Linked DNA regions of Saccharomyces cerevisiae S288C. Changing the gene in region 1 together with any one later gene gives a genetic interaction. Each region holds a gene or a part of one and is shown in the gene's direction. Other genes may lie near its edges. The genes, in order: MNN1, OCH1 and ALG11.

The links.
Region 2: of MNN1 (region 1) and OCH1, changing one enhances a phenotype caused by changing the other (phenotypic enhancement), as found in Saccharomyces cerevisiae (2 studies listed by BioGRID).
Region 3: of MNN1 (region 1) and ALG11, changing one enhances a phenotype caused by changing the other (phenotypic enhancement), as found in Saccharomyces cerevisiae (one study listed by BioGRID).

What each region holds. Positions count from the first base shown.
Region 1 is NC_001137.3:151,684-156,427, forward strand, and holds MNN1 (alpha-1,3-mannosyltransferase MNN1), read left to right. Parts: upstream 1-1,836; coding exon 1,837-4,125; downstream 4,126-4,744. UniProt on the Saccharomyces cerevisiae protein: Responsible for addition of the terminal mannose residues to the outer chain of core N-linked polysaccharides and to O-linked mannotriose. Implicated in late Golgi modifications.
Region 2 is NC_001139.9:424,862-428,663, reverse strand, and holds OCH1 (initiation-specific alpha-1,6-mannosyltransferase), read left to right. Parts: upstream 1-1,859; coding exon 1,860-3,302; downstream 3,303-3,802. Other genes in the region: VIR1 (Vir1p), read right to left, coding at 1-63; PNC1 (nicotinamidase), read left to right, coding at 717-1,367; YGL039W (carbonyl reductase (NADPH-dependent)), read right to left, coding at 3,657-3,802. UniProt on the Saccharomyces cerevisiae protein: Mannosyltransferase involved in outer chain elongation of asparagine-linked oligosaccharides of the type Man(9)GlcNAc(2). Adds the first alpha-1,6-mannose to the Man(8)GlcNAc(2) and Man(9)GlcNAc(2), but not Man(5)GlcNAc(2), endoplasmic reticulum intermediates.
Region 3 is NC_001146.8:536,451-540,428, forward strand, and holds ALG11 (alpha-1,2-mannosyltransferase ALG11), read left to right. Parts: upstream 1-1,722; coding exon 1,723-3,369; downstream 3,370-3,978. Other genes in the region: COPII subunit SFB2, read right to left, coding at 1-1,461; SLM2 (phosphatidylinositol 4,5-bisphosphate-binding protein), read right to left, coding at 3,461-3,978.

The sequences.
Region 1 (4,744 bases):
CTTAACAAATGAAGTAAATTCAAATATTTACTCTTGAATTCTTTTTGCTTTAACTAACACATTGAAATATCAAATTAGTCCACTTTTCTTCCTTGTTGAATGGGTTTCTTCATTAACAGGGGAACGCTTGCCTACCATCAAGCCCATTCAATGCAGATGTGATTAATTGGTAAACAAAGGGCCAAGCAAAAATACATCTCTCCTACATGCTACATAAGTCCGAGATATGTTTTATTTAAGAACTATGAATCTGTAAATGACTGATTCAATATTAAACTAAAATTTCTATGAAACATCAAATTAATCACGTGCTTTTTAAAAAATATAAATTTAATTTCATTTTCTATTTCAATATTTATTAAATAAAAAATTTGAAAAATATATAAAAATTGTAGCAGTATTAGATTTCCGAAAAGAAAAAAAGGTTTCAAGAAAAGGAAAAGAAAAACTAAACGTAGTATAAAGTCTTGTTTAGTGCAAGCCACTGTTGGCGTTTCAACTAAACTATTCCTTAAAAATAAAGTACAATGTTACTGCTAAACAATGTTGAAGGTGAGCTTAAGACAGTAAATCAAGGAAATGCGGTATAATTCCTGCTGACAAAGCCGCACATAAATAGCAGTTGTTAGCTATAAGGAGATTTTTAGCTACGAACATGGTTGTAATTCTCTTTATCCTGATTACCTTCAAGATTAAGAAAAAAACAACCATGGTAACTACTTTGGCTCAAAGTCAAACAAAACTTTTACCATTTCACGGTACACGTTTCCGATAAAATATCACTAGCTATTCAATGTCTGTATTCATCGATAAGCCAGAGTACGACGTACAAAAAATAACGTAAATGCATATCCTGCATCAAGAAAGAACCCTTATGGACGAACAACGAAAGAGATCTAAATTTAGAAGACAGCAAGACTAACCATTTGATAGCGTAGTAAGGCTTATCTAGAAATGTTGGACAGATAGGAAGAGAAAGTATAATAATGGTGTATGGTAGATGACTCTATAATCGTGGTCGGAACGTGCAATATATGAGAACGATGAATGCATATACATATGTCGCGACTCCTTTTTTTCCATTATAGCGGCATCGCTTTATTTCGCGTTTTAATTCATTTTCTTTTTTCTTCATTTCTTTCTGCATATGCAAACGCGGCAAGAAGTGCCCACGGATCCGAAGAAAACCTAATACATTGAAGTTTCTCTCCCTGAGATAGGAACTCTCTCTTCTGCGTCAGAAAAAAAAAAAAGTACTCTTTCTGCATATATTGCTCACTACTGACTCACTGATCCTTTTACGAATAGTTGGGCAACACCTATTAAGTTGTAAAACAATCGCGAAAAAAAAAAGAAAACAACCAAGGCATCCCACTTTTCGAACCCTGGCGCTCGGAAGACTTAATCATTGCGAGGTCTCAATTGGCCGGACCGCCACCATGCAGAAAAATGGTGGAAAGTGCGTGCGCGTTTCTCGTGCCACGTGCTTTTAACCTAAATAGGATACAAACTATCGGCTTATCTTTAGACACGCTCTCGCAGAACGATGAGCTACTGACATTTTGAGTTGATATTCAACCTTTTAAGGTATCTCAGAATGAGGCTCCGGCGCCACCGCAAAGTCTACCTTTTCTTCTTTAAGCCTTGAGTTTCTTCTTTTGCGAAAACGTTGCAATGTATTAGGCAAGATTATATTAAGGAGGTATTATAAAAAGGACTCATAAGTGAAATAAATAATATTCGTAATGCTAAATGTCCTGGTCTTGCTTCGTACTCTCGAAAAACGTAATCTTGCGGTATTTAACGCTAGTTTAAGAAAGTGTTACTGTGTATTAAATGTTGGCACTCCGGAGATTTATATTAAACCAAAGGTCTTTGAGATCGTGTACCATACCGATTCTAGTCGGAGCCTTGATCATTATTCTCGTGCTATTCCAACTAGTTACCCACCGAAATGATGCGCTTATACGATCAAGCAATGTAAACAGTACAAACAAGAAAACATTGAAAGATGCAGATCCTAAGGTTCTTATTGAAGCCTTCGGCTCTCCTGAGGTCGACCCAGTGGATACAATTCCAGTATCGCCACTAGAATTAGTTCCATTTTATGACCAGTCTATAGATACTAAAAGGAGTTCTAGTTGGCTAATCAATAAGAAGGGCTATTATAAGCATTTCAACGAATTAAGCTTAACTGATAGATGTAAATTTTATTTCCGGACACTGTATACGCTAGACGATGAATGGACTAATAGTGTGAAGAAACTGGAGTACAGCATAAATGATAATGAAGGAGTTGACGAAGGTAAAGATGCGAATGGAAATCCAATGGATGAGAAATCCGAGAGATTGTATCGCCGGAAATATGATATGTTCCAGGCATTTGAGAGAATAAGAGCCTATGATAGATGTTTTATGCAGGCCAATCCAGTTAATATTCAAGAAATTTTTCCGAAAAGTGATAAGATGTCGAAAGAGAGGGTTCAATCAAAATTAATCAAAACCTTAAATGCTACTTTCCCTAATTATGATCCAGACAATTTTAAGAAATACGATCAATTCGAATTCGAGCACAAAATGTTTCCGTTTATAAATAACTTTACCACAGAGACTTTTCATGAGATGGTTCCAAAAATCACATCACCTTTTGGAAAAGTATTAGAGCAAGGCTTCTTACCCAAGTTCGATCATAAAACTGGTAAAGTGCAGGAGTATTTCAAATATGAATACGATCCATCAAAAACCTTCTGGGCCAATTGGAGGGATATGAGCGCCAAAGTAGCCGGTCGTGGTATTGTATTGAGTTTAGGTTCCAACCAATTTCCATTAGCTGTCAAATTTATTGCTTCTTTGAGATTTGAAGGGAATACTTTACCGATCCAAGTGGTCTATAGAGGCGATGAGCTGTCGCAAGAACTAGTGGACAAACTTATATATGCTGCTAGAAGTCCTGATTTCAAACCAGTAGAAAATAATTACGATAATTCTACCAATGTTCCACAAGAAATTTGGTTCCTAGATGTTTCTAATACCATCCACCCTAAGTGGCGAGGTGACTTCGGTAGTTATAAAAGTAAATGGCTAGTGGTTCTACTCAATCTTTTGCAAGAATTTGTCTTTTTAGATATTGATGCTATTAGTTATGAAAAAATTGATAACTACTTCAAGACCACTGAATACCAGAAGACAGGAACTGTATTTTACAGGGAAAGGGCGCTAAGAGAAAACGTGAATGAAAGATGTATTGCTAGATATGAAACTCTATTGCCTAGAAACCTTGAATCTAAAAATTTCCAAAACTCACTTCTTATCGATCCTGATCATGCTCTCAACGAATGTGACAATACTTTAACTACAGAAGAGTACATATTCAAAGCTTTTTTTCATCATAGAAGGCAGCACCAGTTAGAAGCTGGTTTATTTGCTGTCGACAAATCAAAACACACGATCCCCCTAGTGCTTGCTGCTATGATTCATTTGGCCAAAAATACAGCCCACTGCACACATGGTGATAAAGAGAATTTCTGGTTAGGGTTCTTGGCCGCAGGTCACACTTATGCACTGCAGGGAGTGTATTCCGGAGCTATTGGTGATTATGTAAAGAAAACCGACTTGAACGGAAAGAGGCAAGAAGCTGCAGTCGAAATATGTTCCGGGCAAATAGCACATATGTCTACTGATAAGAAAACTTTACTTTGGGTTAACGGTGGAGGTACCTTTTGTAAACACGATAATGCTGCTAAAGATGATTGGAAAAAAGATGGCGACTTTAAGAAATTCAAAGATCAATTCAAGACTTTTGAAGAAATGGAAAAATATTATTACATAACTCCAATCAGCAGCAAATATGTCATCTTACCTGATCCAAAATCTGATGATTGGCATAGGGCCTCTGCAGGTGCTTGTGGTGGTTATATATGGTGTGCCACACATAAAACCCTCCTAAAGCCATATAGTTATAACCACAGAACCACTCACGGCGAATTAATAACTCTAGATGAGGAGCAGCGCCTACATATTGATGCTGTCAACACTGTTTGGTCACATGCTAATAAAGATAACACCAGATCATTCACTGAAGAAGAGATCAAGGAATTAGAAAATTCTAGACACGAACAAAGCTAGAATGCATTAACCAGTGTTTTTTCTAACTGTTTATGGTACTAGCCTTTGTGAACATGTATAGTAAAGCATATCGGACGTAGTTTTTTAAGAACCTTGTTTATTACACTTTGACGGTTAGGAGTTTTATTGGAATTACCTCACTTTGCACATAAACCTCTAGAAAAGAAGGTAATACACAATGCTTTCGATCGATTTGATAAATAATAGTAATTCATATTGGCATAATGCTACATATACGTATATATATTTTTTTTACTCTTTTAATAATCAAATTAACTTAATAATTGTTGAGAATCTGGTGAAGGTTTTCTTTTTCTTTTATTTTTTATTCTTTTTTTTCAGGCAAGTTTTATATTTCTCTTATTCAGAAAGTCTACGTCAAAGAGTCATTGAAAGCTTTTATCTTAGATAAAACTATTGGGCTTCCAACAGCATAAAAAGGCCGCTTAAGTACCTGTGATAATAGGTACTAATTATAATCGTAATGTTTACCTGATATTACTTTCTAGTGTAAATAACTGTGCAGTAATCTTTTGGGTAATTTCTTTTCATATTTAACTAGTGCACATACTCGCATTATGACCATTGTATGCGTTCAATACTAAGGGACAATAAAACA
Region 2 (3,802 bases), on another chromosome or scaffold:
GGTGTCTTGGGAGACCCGCGAGGCTGCAGTCACCAGTGGTGCATGGCCAGCACACTTCTGCATTCTGGTGGTGAGGGTTCTGTACTGCTTATATTGTTGCTATTGGTTAATTATGCCTTTTGTTTTCCTCTTTCCCTACGATCCTCCTTATATGAAACAGAAAAAACTGCCGCCGAGATCCAAGCAGAAAAAAATATATTAAGTCAAGGATCAAGGTGGCACACAGGGTAATGAAATTTTTATATTATATATATAAATAAATATCCATATGTCATTGTTAACGTCTTCCGTTGCTAAAATCATACGTCGTTATATACGTTATCGCTTTATACGTGTTAGCTCGATATCATTTGGGACGTGCCGAAATCTCGCGGAATGTTTCCGAAAAAAAAGAAAGAAAAAAAAAAAGGGGCAGGCCCCACAAAGGGGCGCCGCGTGGTGTTACGTACTGGAAAAGTGAATTATGAAAAAAAAGTTCTTCAAGGGGCAGGGGTTTCCGTTTGGCCCACTATGTATGTGTCTCCAGATACGATTATGATGTGCTAATAGTTATTAATAAAACTATATATATATATATTACTCATATATATATTTTCATATACAATGTACTCTTAACTGGTACCTGGTTGGATGCAATAGGTGAGGAAACCTTCAAACAAAACTTTCTTTTACGATTATCTATATCTTTGTTAGAAAGAATAAAATACAGTACAAAAATGAAGACTTTAATTGTTGTTGATATGCAAAATGATTTTATTTCACCTTTAGGTTCCTTGACTGTTCCAAAAGGTGAGGAATTAATCAATCCTATCTCGGATTTGATGCAAGATGCTGATAGAGACTGGCACAGGATTGTGGTCACCAGAGATTGGCACCCTTCCAGACATATTTCGTTCGCAAAGAACCATAAAGATAAAGAACCCTATTCAACATACACCTACCACTCTCCAAGGCCAGGCGATGATTCCACGCAAGAGGGTATTTTGTGGCCCGTACACTGTGTGAAAAACACCTGGGGTAGTCAATTGGTTGACCAAATAATGGACCAAGTGGTCACTAAGCATATTAAGATTGTCGACAAGGGTTTCTTGACTGACCGTGAATACTACTCCGCCTTCCACGACATCTGGAACTTCCATAAGACCGACATGAACAAGTACTTAGAAAAGCATCATACAGACGAGGTTTACATTGTCGGTGTAGCTTTGGAGTATTGTGTCAAAGCCACCGCCATTTCCGCTGCAGAACTAGGTTATAAGACCACTGTCCTGCTGGATTACACAAGACCCATCAGCGATGATCCCGAAGTCATCAATAAGGTTAAGGAAGAGTTGAAGGCCCACAACATCAATGTCGTGGATAAATAAGAGCTGAATAATACTTCTTCAACCTGATGAACTAGGGTGGCTTGCAAATGCACAAATCTATATAACAATATCTATATATATGTATGTACACCGAATTCCGACATATGGAGAAGGAATAATAAAATATTAACTAACGTCTTTACGCCTCTCTTTATTCTTTTTTGGGTAAATTGCTTAAACTATTTGGCCGGCCCACCGCGAAAAGATTTGGCTGGGCCTCAACTAAACGCGCCTTTTTGGACTTTTCACGTTGCAGGGACAGCAACGTCAAAACTTCTGCATTAAGGTAGTTTGGTAGCTTGGTAGCCACTTTAGTATTTCTGCCTTCTTCGAATACCGACATTATTTCTCGCCAATCCACATTCTCTCTCCCCATCTGCATCCTTTTATATTTAATAGGGATAGGTTGTTTTAGTTCTTTGATTCCGTTTTCATTTCAAGAGCAATAATAGCAATTTGGAAAAAGAAAGCAAGTAAAAGAAAGAAGAGATCATGTCTAGGAAGTTGTCCCACCTGATCGCTACAAGGAAATCAAAAACAATAGTCGTAACCGTACTTCTTATTTATTCTTTGTTGACATTTCACTTGTCAAACAAAAGGCTGCTTTCTCAGTTTTACCCTAGCAAAGATGATTTCAAGCAAACTCTTCTCCCTACGACTTCTCATTCACAAGATATAAATTTGAAGAAACAAATTACAGTTAACAAGAAAAAAAATCAATTGCATAATTTACGTGATCAATTATCGTTTGCGTTTCCCTACGACTCTCAGGCCCCCATCCCGCAAAGGGTGTGGCAGACCTGGAAAGTCGGCGCAGATGATAAGAATTTTCCCTCTTCGTTCAGAACCTATCAAAAAACATGGTCTGGTTCGTATTCACCGGATTACCAATATTCTCTGATTTCGGATGATTCTATTATCCCTTTTTTGGAGAATCTTTACGCACCCGTTCCGATAGTCATCCAAGCGTTTAAATTGATGCCTGGAAATATCCTAAAGGCAGATTTTTTAAGGTACCTATTATTATTTGCAAGAGGTGGTATTTACTCAGATATGGATACTATGCTTTTGAAGCCAATTGATTCATGGCCTTCTCAGAATAAGTCATGGCTAAACAACATAATAGATTTGAATAAACCTATTCCTTATAAGAACTCAAAGCCCTCACTTCTCTCAAGTGATGAGATATCACACCAGCCAGGTTTGGTCATCGGCATTGAGGCAGATCCGGACAGAGATGATTGGAGTGAATGGTATGCTCGTAGGATCCAGTTTTGTCAATGGACTATCCAAGCCAAACCAGGTCACCCAATTCTAAGAGAATTGATCTTAAATATTACTGCAACGACTTTGGCGAGCGTACAAAACCCAGGAGTTCCTGTCAGTGAAATGATTGATCCAAGATTTGAAGAAGACTACAACGTAAACTATAGGCACAAAAGACGTCATGATGAGACCTACAAACACTCCGAATTGAAAAATAACAAAAATGTTGATGGCTCAGATATAATGAATTGGACGGGTCCAGGTATTTTCTCCGACATTATTTTCGAATACATGAACAATGTGCTCCGATACAATAGCGATATCTTGTTAATCAACCCAAACCTAAACAAGAACGACGAAGAAGGTAGTGAGAGTGCCACCACACCAGCAAAAGATGTTGATAACGATACGCTGTCCAAATCAACAAGAAAATTTTATAAGAAAATATCAGAGTCTTTGCAATCGTCAAATTCAATGCCCTGGGAATTCTTCTCTTTTTTGAAAGAACCAGTTATCGTTGATGATGTGATGGTTCTACCAATAACAAGTTTTTCACCAGATGTGGGGCAGATGGGCGCCCAGTCTAGTGACGACAAAATGGCTTTTGTAAAGCACATGTTTAGCGGGAGCTGGAAAGAAGATGCTGATAAAAATGCAGGTCATAAATAACGAGGCTCTCCTTTCATCATACCCTCTCTAAATAAAATTTATTCCTAGTTATTCCTTTCTTCTTCATATCCTTAATCATGCATTCACTGCCATGTGCAAATAAAGGCTCTTGTGGTAGAAACTTTTAGCTCAAACGTGGTAAAACTATCTCAACGTCCTTCCGTAGACAACTGGTGAGCAGTGCTTCTGTAACACTGCAGATCTCCAATGATAAATCGATACCGTACTAACTGCCCGCACTATAATGAACTCTTTGTATCCGTAACTATTTAAAATATTCATTCATTTCTATAAGCTATATGTTTATATTTAGATTAGAGGGGTTAAAAGAAAGTTTTTCTCGAAAGCTTAATTTTAGCTTTTACTTTGAACTTCTAGTAATTGCGAGGCAGTATCGACAATGCAATCTCTGAACTTATTAAATTGGAATCCTAATAAATTTTTGGTTTTGCGGTTGTCGCACTTGCAGCAGTTTTTTGTCAAAAAGGTTGAGCCGCTAC
Region 3 (3,978 bases), on another chromosome or scaffold:
GGCATTAAAACCAGGATAAAAATGTGTTTGACCACCAGAAAAACGGCCCAGGTGAGATAGAGTGGCAACGTCCATGTAGTCCTCTGATGCCAGAAACATGTCCACTGTTATTTGTAGTTTATTACACTCAATTGTGAATGTTTTATAAAAGGAATCTTTACACGACAGTAGCTGAGAGCTTTCTTTTGGTGTGTTTAATATGCCCTGTTCACTTCTTTTTTTCAATTTCCCGATGCCAGTATTTGGTAAAGTTGATGAAATGACTTCAACTTTGCCTCCAGTGCTTTTTATCAAATTTGACGCAGCTTTTAGGGCAGGTCCAAGTGCAAACTTGCTACTGTGTGTGTCTTGAAAAATTTCAGGTATCTTTTTCAACAATGTTTCCAGATTATTTTTACAATATTTTAGTGGAACTACTAATTCATCACTCGGCATTGGTAAAAATGGTTCATCCAAATCGCCAATATCAAACATTTGAATTGTTTCTGAATTATCAACGTCTTCCTCTTCCTCGTCTTCATCTTCTTCTTCACCATCTGATTCTTCATCATCCTCATCCGATACTTCATAATCATCATCCAAAGGAACGTAAAAATAATGAAGGCTATGATCAACACATATAATAGCAATTCTGGTCCTTCCATCATGATTTGGTAGAAATTCTATGTTTTCTAAAATGGTTCTGGCAGAAGTAGCCAATAAACCATTTTTGACAGCGTTTTGAGAAACATCTAAAAGAAATACATAAACAGATGGTGGGGGTTCCCTAACAGAATATTCTACGGGAGCCAAGTAATCCACGACAGAGTTTTTAATTTCGTTTCTTTCATATCTGTTGATTGGAGCGCCTTGTAAGTTCTGATCAAACCCAAATGGGACATCATTTTTGAAACGGCATATATTACATTGCCATTTTCTCCCTTGGTTAATGAAAACGACAAAAGGGTTCATATATGAACGACAACGGCGACAGCGGACAATGACTCCGTCAGTATTTAGCGGTACTTGGTTGTCTGAATCTTGCAAATGCAAATATGGTCTAATAACAATGGCAAATGGTAACTTCGTTTTCTTCAGCAGAGAGTTTGTTTTTGGCACCGCTTTCAAAGTAGATCTGACGTACTGGTATGGAACATTTGAATATTCGGATGGAGTCACAATGTTATCCTGAGAAATGGTGATTGGAAGAGGTGGTAAAGACAGGTCACGGATTGGCGGAGGTAATTCTGTAAACAAATCCACAGGGTATAGTTGATTGACCACTTTCCCAGAACCAGGAAACTGTTGATTTTGAGCTAGCTGTGTAAATGAGTTAGCCCTATTGTTCAATTGTAGGTTGCCCATTGCATAAGCTGTTTGGTCGATTTGTTGTTGAGACTGCTGTTGCTCTGCAACTATTGGCATACTTGCAATGTATGGCACCTGAGCTTGAGGGTACACCCTCTTCTTATGATGAGACATTATTCACTGCAGCTGTCGATCATTAATGGAAGAAGGTTCATCAACCAAGCACACTGCAAATGAAGGGTTAGATGAAGAGTTCGACGAAGACCCTTTTAACTGACGTATCATTCATCGTTGTCATCGCTACATCTATGTCCTTCGGGTAAGCTAAACAAAAAGTGAAAAGTTCAATAAATAATAAGATTGAGAGGTAAGTGAAGTGAAGATAGATGTTAGTATCCAAGTGTGACCAACATGTTCAGGTGATTGCAGGCGAAAATGGGCAGTGCTTGGACAAACTACAATTTTGAAGAGGTTAAGTCTCATTTTGGGTTCAAAAAATATGTTGTATCATCTTTAGTACTAGTGTATGGACTAATTAAGGTTCTCACGTGGATCTTCCGTCAATGGGTGTATTCCAGCTTGAATCCGTTCTCCAAAAAATCTTCATTACTGAACAGAGCAGTTGCCTCCTGTGGTGAGAAGAATGTGAAAGTTTTTGGTTTTTTTCATCCGTATTGTAATGCTGGTGGTGGTGGGGAAAAAGTGCTCTGGAAAGCTGTAGATATCACTTTGAGAAAAGATGCTAAGAACGTTATTGTCATTTATTCAGGGGATTTTGTGAATGGAGAGAATGTTACTCCGGAGAATATTCTAAATAATGTGAAAGCGAAGTTCGATTACGACTTGGATTCGGATAGAATATTTTTCATTTCATTGAAGCTAAGATACTTGGTGGATTCTTCAACATGGAAGCATTTCACGTTGATTGGACAAGCAATTGGATCAATGATTCTCGCATTTGAATCCATTATTCAGTGTCCACCTGATATATGGATTGATACAATGGGGTACCCTTTCAGCTATCCTATTATTGCTAGGTTTTTGAGGAGAATTCCTATCGTCACATATACGCATTATCCGATAATGTCAAAAGACATGTTAAATAAGCTGTTCAAAATGCCCAAGAAGGGTATCAAAGTTTACGGTAAAATATTATACTGGAAAGTTTTTATGTTAATTTATCAATCCATTGGTTCTAAAATTGATATTGTAATCACAAACTCAACATGGACAAATAACCACATAAAGCAAATTTGGCAATCCAATACGTGTAAAATTATATATCCTCCATGCTCTACTGAGAAATTAGTAGATTGGAAGCAAAAGTTTGGTACTGCAAAGGGTGAGAGATTAAATCAAGCAATTGTGTTGGCACAATTTCGTCCTGAGAAACGTCATAAGTTAATCATTGAGTCCTTTGCAACTTTCTTGAAAAATTTACCGGATTCTGTATCGCCAATTAAATTGATAATGGCGGGGTCCACTAGATCCAAGCAAGATGAAAATTATGTTAAAAGTTTACAAGACTGGTCAGAAAATGTATTAAAAATTCCTAAACATTTGATATCATTCGAAAAAAATCTGCCCTTCGATAAGATTGAAATATTACTAAACAAATCTACTTTCGGTGTTAATGCCATGTGGAATGAGCACTTTGGAATTGCAGTTGTAGAGTATATGGCTTCCGGTTTGATCCCCATAGTTCATGCCTCGGCGGGCCCATTGTTAGATATAGTTACTCCATGGGATGCCAACGGGAATATCGGAAAAGCTCCACCACAATGGGAGTTACAAAAGAAATATTTTGCAAAACTCGAAGATGATGGTGAAACTACTGGATTTTTCTTTAAAGAGCCGAGTGATCCTGATTATAACACAACCAAAGATCCTCTGAGATACCCTAATTTGTCCGACCTTTTCTTACAAATTACGAAACTGGACTATGACTGCCTAAGGGTGATGGGCGCAAGAAACCAGCAGTATTCATTGTATAAATTCTCTGATTTGAAGTTTGATAAAGATTGGGAAAACTTTGTACTGAATCCTATTTGTAAATTATTAGAAGAGGAGGAAAGGGGCTGATGTTTTTTGAAAATAGAAGCCTTGTTTATGAGAAAACTTATACATAATATTACATACAAACTAGAGCATTACTATATAATTAACTTACTTGTCACAGCTGATTGCTTTTTCTAGGGGAATCTACATTTTCAATGTAAAATTCAGGAACCCTATTCTGAATTTGTGAATCATTCGTTTCCGGTATCGATGACGTGGTGTTAGTGATTGTCAAATTGTCTAATTTTGGAATGGAATTCAAGGGAAAATTGCTACTACTCACATCATCGTATCTCGTATGTTGCTCATTAGTTACCTGGGGGGTCACGCTCTCCGTGGTGTTTTCATTACTCTTGGCTTTTTCTTTAGACAGTTTGGCAACTTTACTCACATATTTGCATTTGTCGTCATAGTTGGGCAAACTTGATAAGGCTTTGATATTTCCAAACCATTCTATCATATCGTCATAAGAGTCTACTTTGAATACCCAGTTGTGACCCCTATGTATTAGTCCGTTAGAATTCGTACGCAATATAAACTTGTTCTTGCCCTGCTCTGAGTTGGATTTCGTCTTTTTGGAATGCTCAGTGACAGTACATTCCACTAATGGTATTGACATTAACGGTGTGGAAA